2 linked regions of the Saccharomyces cerevisiae S288C genome follow. The gene in region 1 interacts genetically with each later gene. Each region holds a gene or a part of one and is shown on either strand. Other genes may lie near its edges. The genes, in order: HAL9 and NNF2.

Region 1 (5,573 bases):
CACGTTGTTATACAAAGTTGAGCCTGGTATTTCAGATCAGTCTTTTGGTATTCATGTTGCAGAAGTTGTTCAATTTCCAGAAAAAATTGTTAAAATGGCTAAACGTAAAGCCAATGAATTGGACGATCTAAAAACTAATAATGAAGATTTGAAAAAAGCTAAGCTATCATTACAGGAAGTTAACGAAGGTAATATTCGTTTGAAGGCTTTACTGAAAGAGTGGATTAGAAAAGTGAAGGAGGAGGGTTTACATGACCCAAGCAAAATTACTGAAGAAGCTTCCCAGCATAAAATACAAGAGCTATTGCGTGCTATAGCAAATGAACCAGAAAAGGAAAACGATAATTACCTGAAATATATAAAAGCCTTGTTGTTATAATTAATATTACAACGACATCTTAAGTGAGAATCGATAGATAATATATAGATACAAATAGTACATATAATATGCATTGGGAAAGAATTTTTATTTTTTACAATCTTTGTAGACAAGGTACAGTTTATTCATAATCCCTAAAAGTGTTCACGAAAGAATAATCTCTGTCATAGATCAATTTTCCTAAAGGCAATAAGGCTCTAAAAGCTTCGAAATCTTCCTTTATTCCACTGTCACTATTAAAATTAGAATTTTCAGGGGTCTCTAGACCACTGGAAAGAGTATCTCCGGTATCAGAACTATGGATGGGATAAACAAGAGATGTTAGGTCCGAACGAATTGGGTACAAAGATGAGTCATCAGATATTCCTTTCCTATTTGAAGATGGCGATAGGTCTCCAAAATTTGAGATGGGGGAGTGAGATTTTAATAGTTTTAAAATTTCGACTGATAACTCTCCAAATAAGTTTATTGGTGCTTCCTCCGCAAAGTCTTCTGAAGAAATATCATTCGTATTCAGTCCATCATCGGCGAGATCGGCTTCGTTGCCCTTTTGTAAAGAATGGAGAGAACCATATGATTTTAGACTCATAATTAGTTGATCGACTGTTTCATCTTTTATCTTTCTTGAATGCATAATAACTTTCGTTATCGTTTCATCATAAGGTTTAGAATCAAATATTGACGTAGAATCGTTCAAAGCATGATAACGTTGCAAAACGTATTTCAAAAAGTGGCTGTAGAACACAATCAAAGTGTTCCATTTGACATTGTCAAACAGTAACTGCTCATCATTTTCTCCCACTAATCGATCATAAGATTTTTTTAGGATATCGATGATCTCTTTTACCTCACCTTTCTTTTTTAGATCGTTCATATTATCCACAACGTAAAAGAAGAGAACAAACATAGCAGTAGAGAACTGATACATAACCTCGTTATACATATGCGCCTGGTAATTGATGCCTTGAAACAGCTGTAACATTTCTTTACTGGCGTTTAAGTATTGACTTGAAAAAAGAATGAATAGCTGAGGAATATCATGGCGAGAACCTTTGTATAGGCGTTCGTTATCAATCAATAAGGATGTAGTCATCATGCTCAAAATCACTTTAGAATATAGCGCCCTAAAATGACAATTCAAAACACGAGAGCATGCAATCTCAAAACTTAAAGCCGGATTTTCTTGGGATTTTTGAGCGTAAAGTACCGATAAATACTGTTTATAACTTTTTAGTTTCATACTTACGTGCAAGTTGTCTCTCCAATTGTTCAAAGAATCATTGAGATCTTTGATTTTATCAAGCATGGCATCGAATGAAAGATCTAGAGTACTTCTGACAGCAAAACAAGTAGAGTATATTTTACTCTCAATACTAACCAATTTTGAAACATAATATGATATGAAAAGGGATATGTGCTGACAAAAATTTACAACTACATTCAATGCAGAGTTGACATCAGTAATTTTATCGAGATCTTCCTTTTTATCAATAAGATCAGGTAGAATATTAGTTTTTATCACTTCATAATAATTTTGATCTGTTAGCATATCCATATCGCGTTCCCCCACAATAGGGGGTCTGGATAACATTAAAGAATATAGTTTATCTGTACAAAAACAATGCCACCACATTCTTCTTCTCCTTATGGCTTCTTCAAAGTCTAGTGACTTGTAAGAGGATTTTCTATTTAATTCCATGTCAACCGCCAATCTAATCGCGGTTCCTAAAATACAATTTGCTAGTTCAGTATCGTAGGTAAGTTGAAAATATCGGTTCAGTAGTAATAAAGCTTGTAGTGTTCTTGTACCTGAACAGATGGTGGACAGCTTATGATAATAATACATGGCATTTAGTAAGGCAACGTTTTCGATTTTTTTTAACTCTTGGGAGGTTGGATCATATCTATCTTTCCTTAGAAACTTTGAATCACCTCTTATAATTGATTGAGTGGCAGATGCACCCGAGCAGAGACACACGTTTAATAATAAATGTTCAGGATATGTGAGTTTTTCGCCGCTTTCGCTGTAGTACTTTTCTGCTAAGTCTAGACATTCTTTTAACGATATTATACCAGTTACAGAGGATAATAAGGTAGCATGAAAATTCTCAAGAAGTCTCTTTGCTTGCTTTTTCGGAGGTAATGAGTATAATATTATTTCGCTGGAGAAGAAAGCCGGAGATGACAAATCCATAAATTTTTTCATTTGAGTTGCATACCATTTTAAAGATATGCTTAATATTTCGCTGATTGGAGAAAGAAACTCCTCATTGGACGCTTTCACTCCTAAACTTTGTTTGAACCAATAGAGTTTTTGAGCAGTTAAAAGTGCCGTAGAGTATATTTTTCTCGCTGGTTTGGGCAAATTGTTCTTTTCCTTGTATTTGCCTTCCTGCTTTTTAACAGCCTTGTCCAATAACCACTCAAGTCTAGCCACACTGTCAATAATGTAAGACATTTTTCTATCCAATTTTTCAATCTTTGAATTCATTTTTTTGTTAAGATTATTTTGAATATTGGAGACTTTATCGATGATATTGCTTTCTAAGGGGGAATTACCGTTTAAAAGTTCAAACCTTCCACTGTTCGGTACTGAAGAAGACGCTACAGGATTGCTAATACTATTTGAGGTTTGAAGTGATTCCCCTGGTGTTGCATGATGTTTGATTTCTAATTTTCTTTTCTTCTTAAGAATCTCATCACGATGTTTGAAAGTGCAAGGCAACTGAAACTTAATACAGTTTGAACATTTTTTGGTCTGCTGGTCCACTTCATCACATCTGATTTTTCTTTTTCGGCAATGGTCACAGGCCTTTGATACACGTTTCTTGAGATTTTTACCAGAGCCGCTCATATCATTACTGTTAGTGTGTTCCATCATCGTGCTGATGTCACGGTTCTGTTGTGTCTGAAATTGCGACTGATGCTCTGTTGGCGAGTATATTGTATTGGGATAAGCCACATTCATGGGGATATTTGGACCTATTGTACTACCTGTCATAAGGGTGTTTTCTCTGTTAGGCATCGTCATCAGTTGATCTGGCACAGGCATCGACCATATTTGAGTTTCAGGAACCAGACGTGGGGTACCAGTTTGATGGTTTACATTTGAAATGTCACTTCTACCGGTGATTTCATTGTTAAAAACCGCATTCATATTGCTTGCTGAGTTTGAAAACCCATTTGGGCTGTAATCTCCACCTTGATTTTCCATTATTTCAAACCGAAGATTTGGAGTGGAGAGTGCTGATTTCCTAAGTTGAATTAAAGTACGATAATAAGCTCCCTAAGACATTTATTCTTTTTTCGAATTAAAGGCTTTTTATATAAAGCCATCTTTCATGTACGTAATTGGAGATTATACCAAAACCAAACAGGGTAAGAGATGTTTCTCTAATGAATAAAATAACAGTGTTACCTTAGCACAAGCCAATATTCAAAACACATGTGGTAGACCTTCTGTAATATTTATGTATATCTCCATAATCTTTCACCTACACAATCTCACTTATATTGCGGCTAACGTACATTGTTAAATATATATGTATCTGTGTATTTGTTGTACCTCAGGGTGAGGGTCCCGCTTCCGTCTGTAGTCGGTATTCGTAAAGTAAAAGACAGAGCGAAGCTTATGTTCAAAGCTCGTCATGACTACTGGTATCTTCTAACTGGTCTTCTATGTGTGATAATAGGCTCAATTGTAGACGAATGATTTTCAGTTTTTCTTTAACTTCTTTACTCAAGTCATCTCCATTTTGCTTAATTAAAGCTTCTAGTCTTCGCCTTTCCTTTTCCAGCCCATTCACGTCACCGTATAATTTAGATAAAGTATCAGAGTAGTATTCTTTACCAGCTTTACACAGAAGCTGTTGAGAACGTAATTCTTCATTGCAATTCCTAGAATCATCGAAAATATGTTCTATGAATCTTTCTTCTGTATCTTTACTTCTTACAGTATCGATAAAGTTGCTTAAACTCTTTAGGTTCCTACTCCCTTCAAAACGAACAACCCTAGACGTATCCAGTTGGTACTTAGGATTGTTGAACCACGTCTTGATTCTTTGCCATAGTCTTTCATGAAATTTCATAGACGACCAATCGAGCTTCGGAAGAACTAAGGGCTTAGTACGAGGTTTGACCAGTTCAATTATTGGAAATCCAGGCAAGTCGGTACATAAAGTTGGCCCGAAGAATTCACAGTTAACTTCAAGGAAGTTAATTGGGGTATCATCTTTATTAGCTTTTTTGGCGTATAGCTCACCAAGCTCTTCGTATACTGGGGCCAGAGTTTTACAATGTTGGCACCAAGAAGTGTAGTATTTTATCATTGTGTAAGAATCATTCCTATTGCAGATATCGAAGTACTGCTCAATCGACTTGACCATCGTGACAGCTTCACTGTAGGCCAACGCTGGTAAAATGACGACGCATGTTGATAATACGGAAAATAAAAAGCCGTGCAATTTCATCTCCTTTGTGTTTTACTTTGCCGACGTACTTGCACTAGACTCGCTGTGTTTTTTTTCTGTTGTTTTGTTGTTATGCTGTTCTTTAGCTCAAAAAATTGGCCACTGTTCCCCGCTCTGTAAATTAATTGCTCTTAAAGAAACAAAAATGATTAAAAAAAATTAGAAATATTTGAGATAATAAGAACATCATTCAGGTCGCCCATATTCACAATTATTTACAGACTGTATTTTAATGAAGAATGTGTGCATAACTTGATGGTACCTATTCAATATAAAATTTGATAAATAAATAATATTATAAAAATGTCTATGTAATTATTATAAAGCTCTAGAGTATGTATGAGTTGTTACACATAGCATTCCAATGAGTACTTGCTTTTTTCTTCGTTCTTTAGACATTTCAGAAGAATATTCTTTATCTTGTCATTGTTACTGCAACTACTATTATAGTATTATTAGTATTATTGTTGGTATTGTTACTATATATTTACGCTTAAAAACTCCAAATTCAGACCCCAAAATATAATTTAAATAAACATTATCATTTCCCCTCATTCCCGTTGACCTCATGAACTAGCGGTGAATTATGTACTTTTCTTCTGTATTCTAGAACTATGTCACCCTGAGATTTCCAGTAAAGTGTTCTAACGGTATTTAAAGTCATATCGTTATCAAGCACTTGGCCCCTACATAGTAGATCCAACCAAAGACTAGGTTCCATTTTT
Region 2 (13,448 bases), on another chromosome or scaffold:
TCTGATTGATTTATGTATTCAAACTGTGTAAGTTTATTTATTTGCAACAATAATTCGTTTGAGTACACTACTAATGGCTTATTGTTTGGCATTTGTAGCGGCAGTCAATTGCGCTTGTTTGATCAAACTTTCCGGAGCATCAAAGACGGGCAGTTTCAGTTCAATTAGTCTGATCACCGAGTTTTTCTGGAACTCTGAATCAGTGGTTAAGGCATCCCACTCACCCGTAGTGGCGATCTTGTGATTTTCGTACTTTTTCGCACCAAATGCGGGCAACAGGGCGAGGTGATCCCAGGTCTGGATTTCGTTGTACTCTGCGTGAGGCCCATGAATCAGCTTTTCGATAGTGTAGCCGTCGTTGTTAAGGACAAAAAGATACGGCTTTAACCCCCATCTGATCATGGTGGAGATTTCTTGGACGGTTAACTGCAAAGACCCGTCACCTATGAATAAGATGACTCTCTTGTTGGGGTCAATCTCCTCAGCGGCAAAGGCAGCACCTAAAGTTGCTCCTGTTGTAAAACCGATGGACCCCCACAACACCTGCGAGATACCGTAGGCGTCCTTAGGAAAGATAGTTTGATTGATACCGAAGGCAGACGTGCCGGTCTCGGAAATGATAACATCACCTTCTTGCAAGAATTTGGACAATTCGTTCCACAACCACTCTTGTTTCAAGGGCGTGCTAGCAGGTACACCTTTGTTTGCGGGAGTTTTGGTTGGTACGGGAACGCTCTTGTAGCCCTTAACAACATCGGGAATAACCTTCAGTAAGTTTTGTAGTGCAAATTTCATTTGTACACCGAGGAACGTAGCGTTCTTCACCTTTACGTAATCGGAATGAAACTCCACTACATTTTTAGTCTTGTAGGAGTAGGAAAACGAACCTGTGTTAAAATCAGAGAGCAAAGCACCGACCGAAAGGATCAAATCAGCCGACTCAACGGCCTGTTTCACGTCTTGTTTGGACAGCGTTCCCACATAAACACCGCCATATCTGGGATGCTGTTCATCTATTGACCCTTTACCTAGAGGTGTCACAAAAGCTGGGAATTGCGTCAAATCAATTAACTTCTGGGTTTCTTTTTTAACGTTGTGCCTAGAAGCACAGGCATCCGATAGTATAACAGGGTTTTTCGAATTCTGGATCAATTCTAGTACGGTATCAATAACTTCCTTTTCAGCTTCGGGATCGTTAGGTTTTAATGATAGATCAATCGGTTTTTCCAAAAGAGAACCAGGAACCTTTAGATCTACCAAATTCGCTGGCAACCCCAAGTAGCTAGGCCTTTGTGTTATAAATGTTGTCCTGATCAACCTATCGATTTCTGAAGGGGCTGTAGCAATGTCTGTAATCATTGATGTAGTTTCTGAGATATTGGCGGACATTCTGTGAAAAACGGTAAAATCACCGTTACCCAAGGTATGATGCAACAACAATTGCTTAGCCTGAGCGGAGATAGAGGGGACACCAACAACATGCAGTACACCGACGTGTTCTGCATACGATCCTGCAATACCATTCAAGGCGGATAATTCACCTACGCCAAAAGTAGTTACCAGCACAGATAAACCCTTGATGCGTGCGTAACCATCGGCGGCATAGGCGGCGTTCAGCTCATTTGCATTACCAGCCCATCTCAATCCATCTACCTCGTAAATCTTGTCCAATAGGGACAAGTTGAAGTCGCCTGGTAGCCCAAAAATGGTGTTAACATTAACTTGCTTCAATCTTTCAAATAAGTATTTTCCAAGAGTAATTTCAGACATTTTGTTGGCAATATGTTTTTGCTATATTACGTGGGTTTTTTATTTATACTGTATATAAAAGAGGACTGCAATAGCACAAGATTAAGATAGAATGGCTTCAAACAGCCGCCTTTTATACATATTGGTAAAAGCTCGCGAATCGCACCATATCCCTTATCCTGTAATCAAATCGATCTAGGTGCAGATACAGATCAATTCATAAAAAGAAATTGAAGCACCAGTTTATCACTACTACACTATCTTTTTCTTTTTTTTTTTTTTTTGCGAAGTTTCGCCCTTTGTTCAATATCACTTGATAAGTTGTGGGCTTTTTCTGTCACTCATTCGGCTTAAAAAGTATTCGTTCTTTTGTGTTTTATGAAAAGGGAACGTGATATAAAAAAACATCCTTTGGTGTGGGACATGGGCTTTTGTTTAGAGAATGGTTATCACTACCGCCCCCACCCTTGAAAGCCACAGAAAATGAAAAAGTATGTGAATAAGGTGTGAACTCTATAACATTTTGGCCAAATGCCACAGCCGATCTGCATATTCCAATGGACATAATGCAACAACAATTGATGTCACATTCTCTTACACACTTCGATTGGTCCGTACGTAGTACTTTTTACATAACTGACTCAGGCGTTTCCTTCATTGAAATGCTCATCTATTGCCAAGTACATAGAATCCACAGTGCATAGGTTTATGAGATGCTTGGAAGATGTACGATCGCCTGCACTATATTAGTATATTTTTTCAGGCTTTACAAAACCAGAAAGAAATTACCGACTGTAATACTTAATTTCCATGATTTTAATCGTATGGTCCGTGAGGAAAGAGGAATTTTAGGTAAAAAAAAACCTTTGTCTATCAAAACATAAAAGAAAAGAAAAAAATTAAATTGAATAAGTCAGCTTTTTAGCATGACCACAGTAATAATAGTAATACGATATCAGCATGAGCTGCTAAACATTAAGAATTTTTGAATTGTGTTCGCTGGTAAGAGAAAATAGGGTAGCATTAGTTGCGAGATGGAAAATTAAAATATGCGTCATAAGGTATTTTCGACGTTGAAGATTAGGGGTTGCAAGTCCGAGAACTAAACTGCCTTCACGACGTCAAACTTATTGTATGGTGACAATAAAACGAATTCAAGAAGCCAGAGATGATGAGGAACCGATGACGAGGCACATGGGGATAGAACCTCCGTTATCTCCATTCCGCGTTGAGCAGCTCTCCTGCGTGCTTTCACAGAGACCCTAAGCCAAGACCGCGGACGGCCCTCTTTTTCAAGGGGATCACCGGTAAGGGGCCAAGCGGTGAAATTGCGTATTGTTTCCTCCTATCAATGATGAGTACGTCGCCGATCCAGAAGGGTTATTATTGTCATTGCCAGTACTATTCGTATGCTGAAAAAGTATAGTTCACTTCACCCTCTGGCTGCAGGCTAGCCTAGCCGATAATGCCCCCGACTCCCTCAACAGGTAGAATTTGTAAGGATTCGACGTAGCCTGGACACATTGTGCATTTATCGTATCCCCTACTGCTACACGTATAAGAAGTCGTTGCTTTACCTCTATTCCAGAACTCAATCTTGTCGTTACTTGCCCTTATTAAAAAAATCCTTCTCTTGTCTCATGCCAATAAGATCAATCAGCTCAGCTTCACAAATGAACGTGTTCGGTAAAAAAGAAGAAAAGCAAGAAAAAGTTTACTCTCTACAAAACGGTTTTCCGTACTCTCATCACCCATACGCTTCTCAATACTCAAGACCAGACGGCCCTATCTTACTGCAAGACTTCCATCTGCTGGAAAATATTGCAAGTTTCGATAGAGAAAGAGTTCCGGAGCGTGTAGTCCATGCCAAAGGTGGTGGTTGTAGACTGGAGTTCGAACTAACAGATTCTTTGAGTGATATTACATACGCCGCTCCATACCAGAATGTGGGTTACAAATGTCCTGGTCTTGTTCGTTTTTCCACCGTTGGTGGTGAAAGTGGTACACCAGACACTGCAAGAGACCCAAGAGGTGTTTCTTTTAAATTCTATACCGAGTGGGGGAACCATGACTGGGTCTTCAACAATACTCCCGTCTTCTTCCTCAGAGACGCTATTAAGTTTCCCGTATTTATTCATTCGCAAAAGAGAGACCCTCAGTCTCATCTGAATCAGTTTCAGGACACTACCATATACTGGGATTATCTAACATTGAATCCGGAATCAATCCATCAAATAACTTACATGTTTGGTGATAGAGGTACTCCTGCTTCGTGGGCTAGTATGAACGCGTACTCTGGTCATTCCTTCATCATGGTCAACAAAGAAGGTAAGGACACATATGTGCAATTCCACGTCTTGTCGGATACTGGTTTTGAAACCTTGACTGGAGATAAGGCTGCTGAACTGTCAGGCTCCCACCCTGATTATAATCAGGCAAAGCTGTTCACTCAATTGCAAAATGGCGAAAAGCCAAAATTTAACTGTTATGTGCAAACAATGACACCCGAACAAGCAACTAAGTTCAGGTATTCGGTAAATGACCTAACGAAAATATGGCCACACAAGGAATTCCCTTTGAGAAAATTTGGTACCATCACCCTAACGGAGAATGTTGACAATTATTTCCAAGAAATTGAACAAGTTGCATTCAGTCCAACGAACACTTGTATCCCAGGTATTAAGCCTTCTAATGATTCCGTTCTACAAGCCAGACTTTTCTCCTATCCAGACACTCAACGTCATAGATTGGGAGCCAACTATCAGCAATTGCCCGTCAACAGACCAAGAAACTTGGGATGTCCATACTCCAAAGGTGATTCCCAATACACTGCCGAACAGTGTCCATTTAAAGCAGTGAACTTCCAAAGGGACGGCCCAATGAGTTACTACAATTTCGGTCCTGAGCCAAATTATATTTCCAGTTTACCAAATCAAACTCTGAAATTCAAAAATGAAGACAACGACGAAGTATCTGATAAGTTCAAAGGGATAGTTCTTGACGAAGTAACAGAAGTTTCTGTGAGAAAACAGGAACAAGACCAAATCAGAAACGAGCATATTGTTGATGCCAAAATTAATCAATATTACTACGTTTATGGTATTAGTCCACTAGACTTCGAACAGCCAAGAGCTCTATATGAAAAGGTATACAACGATGAACAGAAGAAATTATTCGTTCATAACGTTGTTTGCCACGCTTGTAAGATCAAAGATCCTAAAGTCAAAAAGAGAGTTACGCAATACTTTGGTTTGCTAAACGAAGATTTGGGTAAAGTCATTGCAGAATGCTTGGGAGTTCCTTGGGAACCTGTTGACCTTGAAGGTTATGCCAAGACTTGGTCCATTGCAAGTGCCAATTAAGGCAGCACTATTTATTCATAATTATTCGTAATTATATCTCCATAATTATTTATTCATAAGTTTTCTTTAAGTTTATTCTCTACATCACTAGTTATTACAAATTGGTCGTATGTACAAGCACTAATATTTCATACTTATCGTACTTCATACATAGCAAATCCTGTTAGGAAAAATATGGCAGCAAAACAGATTGGCTGCCTACTTTTGACACATTTTTTTCTAATTCGGTACTTAGATCGGCATGAACTCAACGATTATCGCATTATACGGACAATCTGAAAAAAAAAAGTAGCCTAACTTATGCAGTTGTGTGTTTATAACGTTGAATTCCTAAACCTCTTGAAGGTGTAATATAACAAGTAACATAACTAGGTTTTCACAACTCGTTAGTTTCTATTAAAAGAGGAATAAACAAATTTTATTAGGACTAAGAGGATTATACAGAGTACCAGCAGAGAAAACTTTAAATTCTTTCTGTTATAATAATATCTTACCAAAGTTTTTTGTTTTCTATCTCCACATTTTTCGTACCATCTCTTTAGGTAATCACTCTGAATAACTTTTATTCATATACACCCCAATATTTTTTAAGATTCCACCTATCTCCGTTACATAAAAGGATCCATGCACAATTTTCATGGAGGAACAATTTACTAATCAGAAGAAAGTATCACATCTACAGTCATTAATGAACACTAAAAGGAGTGAACAGCCCACCGAATTTGCCAAAAAACATAGGTTTAAAGATACGCTTGCATTGTTCCTGGTTTTTTTGAGTTTTAACCACTTCACTTCCCTATGTTTATTGGTTTCCTTTATTGTTGCTACCAAATGCAAAGATTTTCTGGCAAATTGTTTTATTATACTTTTCCTATCGAAAAAACCTTCCCGCCATATCGGTGAAGTGGCGCACATAGATATAAGTACTTCCAAAGTGACCAATGGTAGTTCAAACCGAAAATCTAATTCACGATTTTTTGGCAATTCAAAAAATAGCTTCGTCATTCCGATCCCCGTATTAATTTGTGAAATTTTATTTGCAATGTTACTAAAGATTTACGGTGGCGATTATTTTGTTAAGCCAATAAAAAATCTGGCAATTTCTATTATTGCCTCATTTTTGATCAATGATCCAAGCGATTGCTTAAGCTATGCAACTTCATGCTCAGTATTGTATGCTGTGTCAACTAACACTTTTCAAAGAGTGTCACACTTCTTTGACATTATACAGTTATTTGATATGTCTTTACGAGGAACCGGCCAATCAATTAAATTATTCACGGTTTTTCGCAAGTATTCACAGTTTTTCAAAAAGCTTTTCTCTCTATTTTTGCCAATGCCTTTCAAGATGCTTGGCAAACATTCAGACAGTATGATTTATTATCTATCCTTTCACATCCTTTTTTTCTCATTTGCTTCAAGTTTATTACACCCTCATAGACAAACAGCGGAAAACAAGCCATTGAAAAAGGGTTTCAATTCAACTAAACCAGATGTAGCCCGTGTTCAAGGTCTGCAAAAGATGAGAATTTCTTCTTCTTCTTCCGTTTCTGCCGATTCGAACACTTTAGAGGACCAAAGTCCTATGATACCGAACGATCCAGGTGGACTTAGCAGCAGCAATCAAACTATCCATCCATCCCAACAAAATAACTCGCCAGTTCCCCTATCATCACACAGTAATATTTTGAACCCTGCCGCCTCTTATCCTACTGATGCTACTTCTAGTTTTCCCTATTTCACTTCTATGGTCAAGGAATATAAGTCATATCAGCCATCGGTAATCTCTGCTGAAGGAAGCAATTCTCAAGCCGTTACTACTACTACCAGTACAACAACCTCTCCTACAACGTTCAACTTTTCTGGTGATAACACTAGTTTGTCAAATGAAATCTCTCTATCTGATTCCTCGAATGGAAATTCGAAAAAGGATTCTGATTTCTTTTCCCCTTCCAATGACAAGTATACTAACCAACTGTTTGAACTGAATGTTGATTTTGGGAACATGTTTTCTTCTAGCAAATTATCTTCAGACATATCTGTTACATCAAACTTGGAAAATTTTATCCGTCTTCTATTCAGAAGAAAGAATCAACACTTGATTGCACCTCTTTGGTCTATGGTAGTTACATTAAAAACAACGAATTTTGAAAAAAAATACTTACAAGAAACCTCTGAAAATTCACTAACACCAACAAATTCGAATACTTCATACGTCAGTAATCAGGAAAAACATGACAAAGATTTGGACACGATTAATACACATTCAGTTTCATCAAGAATTAGTTTCACCCATGCCGGAAAGTTTAAGAAGAGCGTGTTTAACAATTTCGAACCTTCAAATACTATGGCCCTGATTGCAAAGACAACATCTGATGACTACAATCTTTTAAATTTAGTTTCCACCAATGAAAATATTTTCAATAGAAATGATAATGACTACAAAGTTTGCATTATTGATATTAGCACAAACTCTATTACATTCCATATTGAAAATTTACATGATGGCGAACTCATTGTTTTAGTAAACGGTGTTATCTGGTCAGAAGTTTCTTGCGCTTTAATTTTAGAGCATGTAGGCGAAGAATACGTTGTCGTTAACGGATTAGTCCCTTCTTGTTCTTATGATATTCAATTCATCAACAGACTAAATCACCGAGATGATTATTTGGTTTCTGATTTAATTGTAAGGACTTGTGGGAATAACAATGCGATTGCCGGAAAATTTGAAAACCTTGATTTCAGCTTCCCTTCATACTACCATAGGAAATTCTTATCTCCGTTGCTAACTCTGAAGCATTCCGTGCTAACTACAAACGCAAATTTGTCCGATGAAAGGACAAAATTGAAAAAGACAAAAAAGGAATTCAGCAAGAAGTTAAGTCTTTTGAGACAAGAAATTGATTATTTTAAAGGCAGGATTTCACAGAACGCAACACATGACGAAAAGAGCACTTTAAAAGTCGAAAATTTGAAGGTTGCCCTACAGCAAAGTGAGACTGCGGTAAATAAGTTAGAGATGCAATTGAAAACTCTCACTGAAAAAGAGCTTGAATTAGAAGAGGAATACTTGAAAAAGAAAGATCTACACTTGAAAAATCAATTAGAGTTCAGTAAGTTAGAAGAAAGCTTATCGAAAGACCTGAAAAACTCAGAAGGGAGGTTCCAAAAGGTCAATCAAGAATTAGTTCAACTAGGCTCTAAACTGGACAAATTGAACGCGAGAAACGAGAAGTTACAAAAGGAGGTCGATCAGAACGCAGAAGAGATAGAAAAGTTCAGTACTCAATTTTTGAGTAAAAGAGAAAAGGATAGATTTAGAAGAAAGGAGTACAGGATACGCGAAGCCAATAAATTTGAATTGACTATAAAGGGGTTAGAGCAAGATATCAACAGATTAGAAAATGAGAATGAAAATATACATAGTCTAATTGGTAATAGTTACTGATGGAAGATTAGAAAACAAAGATAGATAAGAATTCGTTTTGTAGCATCCTAAAATTTACTTCTATTGAATATATACATGTATTTATTACTTGGACGTTCTACTTTAAATGTAGTCAGTCGTTTTTTTCTCGATATTGTTTTTTTATTGTTTCCTAATAACTTCATTTGTTACTTTTTTGCCTTTTGTTATTTATGGAAATAATGCAGGTTAACATAAGTAAACATAAAATATGAGAAAAACTAAGAATGTTTGCTGATGTATTGAACAGTTCACATCGTTGTGTCTACTATTAACACTAAGTTGTTGATCAAAACATTCCCTAATTAATAGCTGCCCCAGGACTTGGAAGGCCACACTACTCTCCATGACATCAAAGATACGGCCCAAATAATCTGTATCCTCGATATGAACTTAGGACCACATATTTGGAGCTTGTCCAAAATACTAAAATGGCAGATAACAATTAGATGGTTCCAATTCAAATACATTACAAGCTACGAAAACTAATATTCTATAATTTATACTAAGTTCATGGAAAGAATTGCAATGGATTGAGGTTTCTAACGAGGTTATCACTACCGCAAATATAGAGAGTAAGTTGGTAATATACAACAATAGAATTTAATCAATAACCAATCTCAACATTATTGTATCGTATTTTAACTTATAATTGTGCTCATATCAAGTTTTCTAGGTTACAATTACGACCAATTCTCAGGTTGTTTTGCAAAATTGGCGAAGAGATGGAGGCCTACCACATATTATCACGATTTGATAGGGATAATCTGAGTAACGATTAGTTATTGACGAATCCCTTTAATATAGTTTCCACACGAGAATAGGCGCCTACTAAAGAATTGATGAATCTGCTGGTAATTTCTAGGTTTCCATTATTCGGTAAAATATACGGAATGTATTAGGGGTTCTTCATGACGATCAAAGATCCATGAATGGAGATCGGTATTTTTAAGTAATAGTGCTACTATTTTTTTCCTTTTTGCATTCTGTCGTTCAATATCCTGTTACATTATTAATCTTAGTTTCGGATTCCACTGAAATCAATAACTATATCCCATGGCTTGGGCCTTAATTCTTGTGTCATATACAATAATATGCTAGTGCCGTGAACACTAGCCAATGAAGAAATGATCGTTTTCCAACACATACCGGACGTGGCTCTGATAGTGCTCGACGATGGAAATTTCAGCATGCATACTGATGTATGTCAAGATAACAACTACAGTCCTATCGTCGTGATTATAGGGAATCGACCGCGCCACTGCTATGACAACGGAAAGTTTATCCATGGCCTGCTGATTTTGATGCTGCTGTGGACACGAGAATACCAACACCTGTTCACATCTTCATGTGGATGAACGTAACGAAGTGGATATTTAGGCTCGGTAGCGAATCTTTTGCCGTACCTCCAAATTTATCTTGTATCGATTTTTCCGTCTAGTTGAAACTGTTATTATCCGCCCCTCCAATTTTCTGTAAAGCATAGGTGCTTCTTCAAAGTATCCAATGTATTTCTTAAGCTTATCAAGAAATAACATACTTCGAATACGTCCCAAGTTTTCTGATAACTTTATCATATTCTTTTGGCTAATTGGCGATCGTTTATATACCCCAGTGATTTTGGTTATAAATTTATAATATAGTTCAAACTATCCTTCCTTTAGAACAACTGTAAGCTTTAATTTTGAGCAAGCGCTACCATTTGATATATAGCAAACTAACCAAAATGCTAAGACATCTTCTAGTCTAAAAGTAACTCTTTTTCTGTGTATCTAATTCACATTGTGAATTTGAAAAGTACCCTTATTTGTATATATGTTGGTTTTGATGGTAGGTGACCTCACTTTTCTTTAGAAAATTTGCAATTATAGTTTTAGACAATCCCTTTATGTTTCATGTGCGTATTCATTATTTTTAACAAATTCCTAGTTCTCAAATCTGAGTCTCTTGGTAAAAATTTGCCTCCTTAGCTTAGTGGTAGAGCGTTGCACTTGTAATGCAAAGGTCGTTAGTTCAATTCTGACAGGTGGCATAATTTTATATATCTCTTTTTTTGCTTGTTGTACGGAAGTTCTGTCCATCCGGTGGGCGACCGGTATAGAATTATCGCGCCATCCATGAAGGTTGGCCCAGGGCCGAGTAAAGATTTAGGCAGGACCGGTGGTGGCCACTGCCTGGGAACGTCGGCCTACGGCTCGCTGCATGCCGTTGAAAAATTTCAATTGTAATTTGGAAAATTTAACCAAATGATAATTTCAATATGTACCACTAGCACTTTACGTCAAGAATCTCAAGCAAACCAAAGGGTTTTAATCTTATACTTTTCCATTCTATTTTTTAATAGAATTTAAATCGGCAGCTCTTATACTTGGAAACAGGACGTTTTCATTTTGCTTTTTTGAAGGCCAGATATTTGCTTTCACTTTAAGAACCAACTCCAAGAAATCTTCAAAGTTTCCTTTGTTAGATTTATCCTCTGATTGAATTATTGAAACCACAGGTATAATCACTTTGGGGTAGAACATTATAGTTTTCATAGAAATTTTACAAAGGATCTCCTTCATATACCATGGCTACAAGTGTTAAAAGAAAAGCATCTGAGACTTCTGACCAGAATATTGTTAAAGTGCAAAAGAAACATTCCACACAGGACAGCACAACTGACAACGGATCCAAAGAAAATGATCACAGTAGTCAAGCCATCAACGAGCGTACCGTGCCCGAGCAAGAAAACGACGAAAGCGATACTTCACCTGAAAGTAACGAGGTCGCTACTAACACTGCTGCGACTCGCCACAATGGAAAGGTTACTGCAACAGAGTCCTATGATATTCACATAGCTAGAGAAACGGCTGAATTATTCAAGTCTAATATTTTCAAGTTACAAATTGACGAATTACTGGAGCAAGTGAAGTTAAAACAAAAACATGTTCTGAAAGTCGAAAAATTTCTACACAAGTTATATGATATTCTCCAGGAAATTCCTGATTGGGAGGAAAAGTCATTAGCTGAAGTGGACTCCTTCTTCAAAAACAAGATTGTTTCTGTTCCATTTGTTGACCCCAAACCTATTCCTCAAAATACTAATTATAAATTCAATTACAAGAAACCAGACATCTCCTTAATTGGCTCCTTTGCTCTTAAAGCTGGAATTTATCAACCTAACGGCTCTTCCATTGATACTTTACTAACAATGCCAAAGGAGTTGTTCGAAAAAAAAGATTTCTTAAATTTCAGGTGCTTACACAAGAGGAGCGTTTATTTAGCATACCTAACCCACCACCTATTGATATTATTGAAAAAAGATAAATTAGACTCATTTTTGCAACTCGAGTATTCTTATTTTGATAATGATCCGCTTTTACCAATTTTAAGAATTAGTTGTTCCAAACCAACGGGTGATTCTCTTTCTGATTATAACTTTTACAAGACCAGATTCTCTATCAACTTGCTTATTGGTTTCCCATACAAAGTCTTTGAACCAAAAAAACTGTTACCCAATAGAAACTGTATTAGAATAGCACAAGAAAGCAAAGAGCAATCTTTACCAGCCACTCCTCTTTACAATTTTTCAGTGTTATCTTCTTCAACACATGAAAACTACCTGAAGTATTTATACAAGACGAAGAAACAAACAGAATCTTTTGTTGAAGCTACTGTTTTAGGTAGATTATGGCTGCAGCAACGTGGGTTTTCATCCAATATGTCGCATTCTGGTTCATTGGGTGGATTCGGTACTTTTGAATTTACTATCTTGATGGCAGCGTTATTAAACGGTGGTGGTATAAATAGTAACAAGATATTACTTCACGGGTTTTCATCATACCAATTGTTTAAAGGTGTAATAAAATACTTAGCCACTATGGATTTGTGCCACGACGGCCATTTACAATTTCATTCTAATCCAGAGAATTCCTCCAGTTCACCAGCTTCTAAATATATTGATGAGGGTTTCCAAACTCCAACCTTATTTGATAAGTCAACCAAGGTCAATATTCTTACAAAAATGACTGTTTCTTCTTATCAAATTTTGAAAGAATATGCCGGTGAAACATTGAGAATGCTAAACAACGTTGTTCAAGACCAATTCTCAAATATTTTTTTGACTAATATTAGCCGTTTTGACAATTTGAAGTACGATCTGTGTTACGATGTACAGTTACCTTTGGGTAAGTACAATAATTTAGAAACTTCTTTAGCTGCTACATTTGGGTCAATGGAAAGAGTAAAATTTATTACTCTGGAGAATTTCCTCGCCCACAAGATTACAAATGTTGCAAGGTATGCATTGGGCGATAGAATCAAATATATCCAAATTGAAATGGTTGGTCAAAAGTCCGATTTTCCAATCACCAAAAGAAAAGTGTACTCTAACACAGGAGGTAACCATTTCAACTTTGATTTTGTAAGAGTAAAATTGATTGTTAACCCCTCTGAATGTGACAAATTAGTCACCAAGGGCCCTGCTCATTCTGAAACTATGTCTACAGAAGCAGCCGTTTTTAAGAATTTTTGGGGAATTAAATCTTCCTTAAGAAGATTCAAGGATGGCTCCATCACCCATTGTTGTGTTTGGTCTACATCCTCATCAGAGCCCATCATTTCCTCAATTGTTAACTTTGCATTGCAGAAACATGTTTCAAAAAAGGCACAAATATCAAATGAGACTATCAAGAAGTTTCATAATTTCCTACCGTTGCCAAACTTACCCTCAAGTGCTAAAACATCAGTTTTGAACTTGAGCAGCTTTTTCAACTTAAAGAAATCCTTTGACGATTTATACAAAATAATTTTCCAAATGAAGTTACCGCTTTCTGTAAAATCAATCTTACCGGTTGGCTCTGCATTTAGATACACTTCCTTATGCCAAC

What was found.
Region 2: mutations in HAL9 (region 1) and NNF2 together harm fitness more than expected from each alone (negative genetic interaction), as found in Saccharomyces cerevisiae (2 studies listed by BioGRID).

Annotation. Positions count from the first base shown.
Region 1 is NC_001147.6:149,898-155,470, forward strand, and holds HAL9 (Hal9p), read right to left. Parts: upstream 3,594-5,573; coding exon 501-3,593; downstream 1-500. Other genes in the region: mismatch repair ATPase MSH2, read left to right, coding at 1-379; protein disulfide isomerase MPD2, read right to left, coding at 4,015-4,848; DUF1 (Duf1p), read right to left, coding at 5,390-5,573. UniProt on the Saccharomyces cerevisiae protein: Putative transcription factor involved in halotolerance.
Region 2 is NC_001139.9:651,212-664,659, forward strand, and holds NNF2 (Nnf2p), read left to right. Parts: upstream 1-5,748; coding exon 5,749-8,559; downstream 8,560-13,448. Other genes in the region: PDC6 (indolepyruvate decarboxylase 6), read right to left, coding at 79-1,770; CTT1 (catalase T), read left to right, coding at 3,423-5,111; rRNA-processing protein UTP22, read left to right, coding at 11,147-13,448.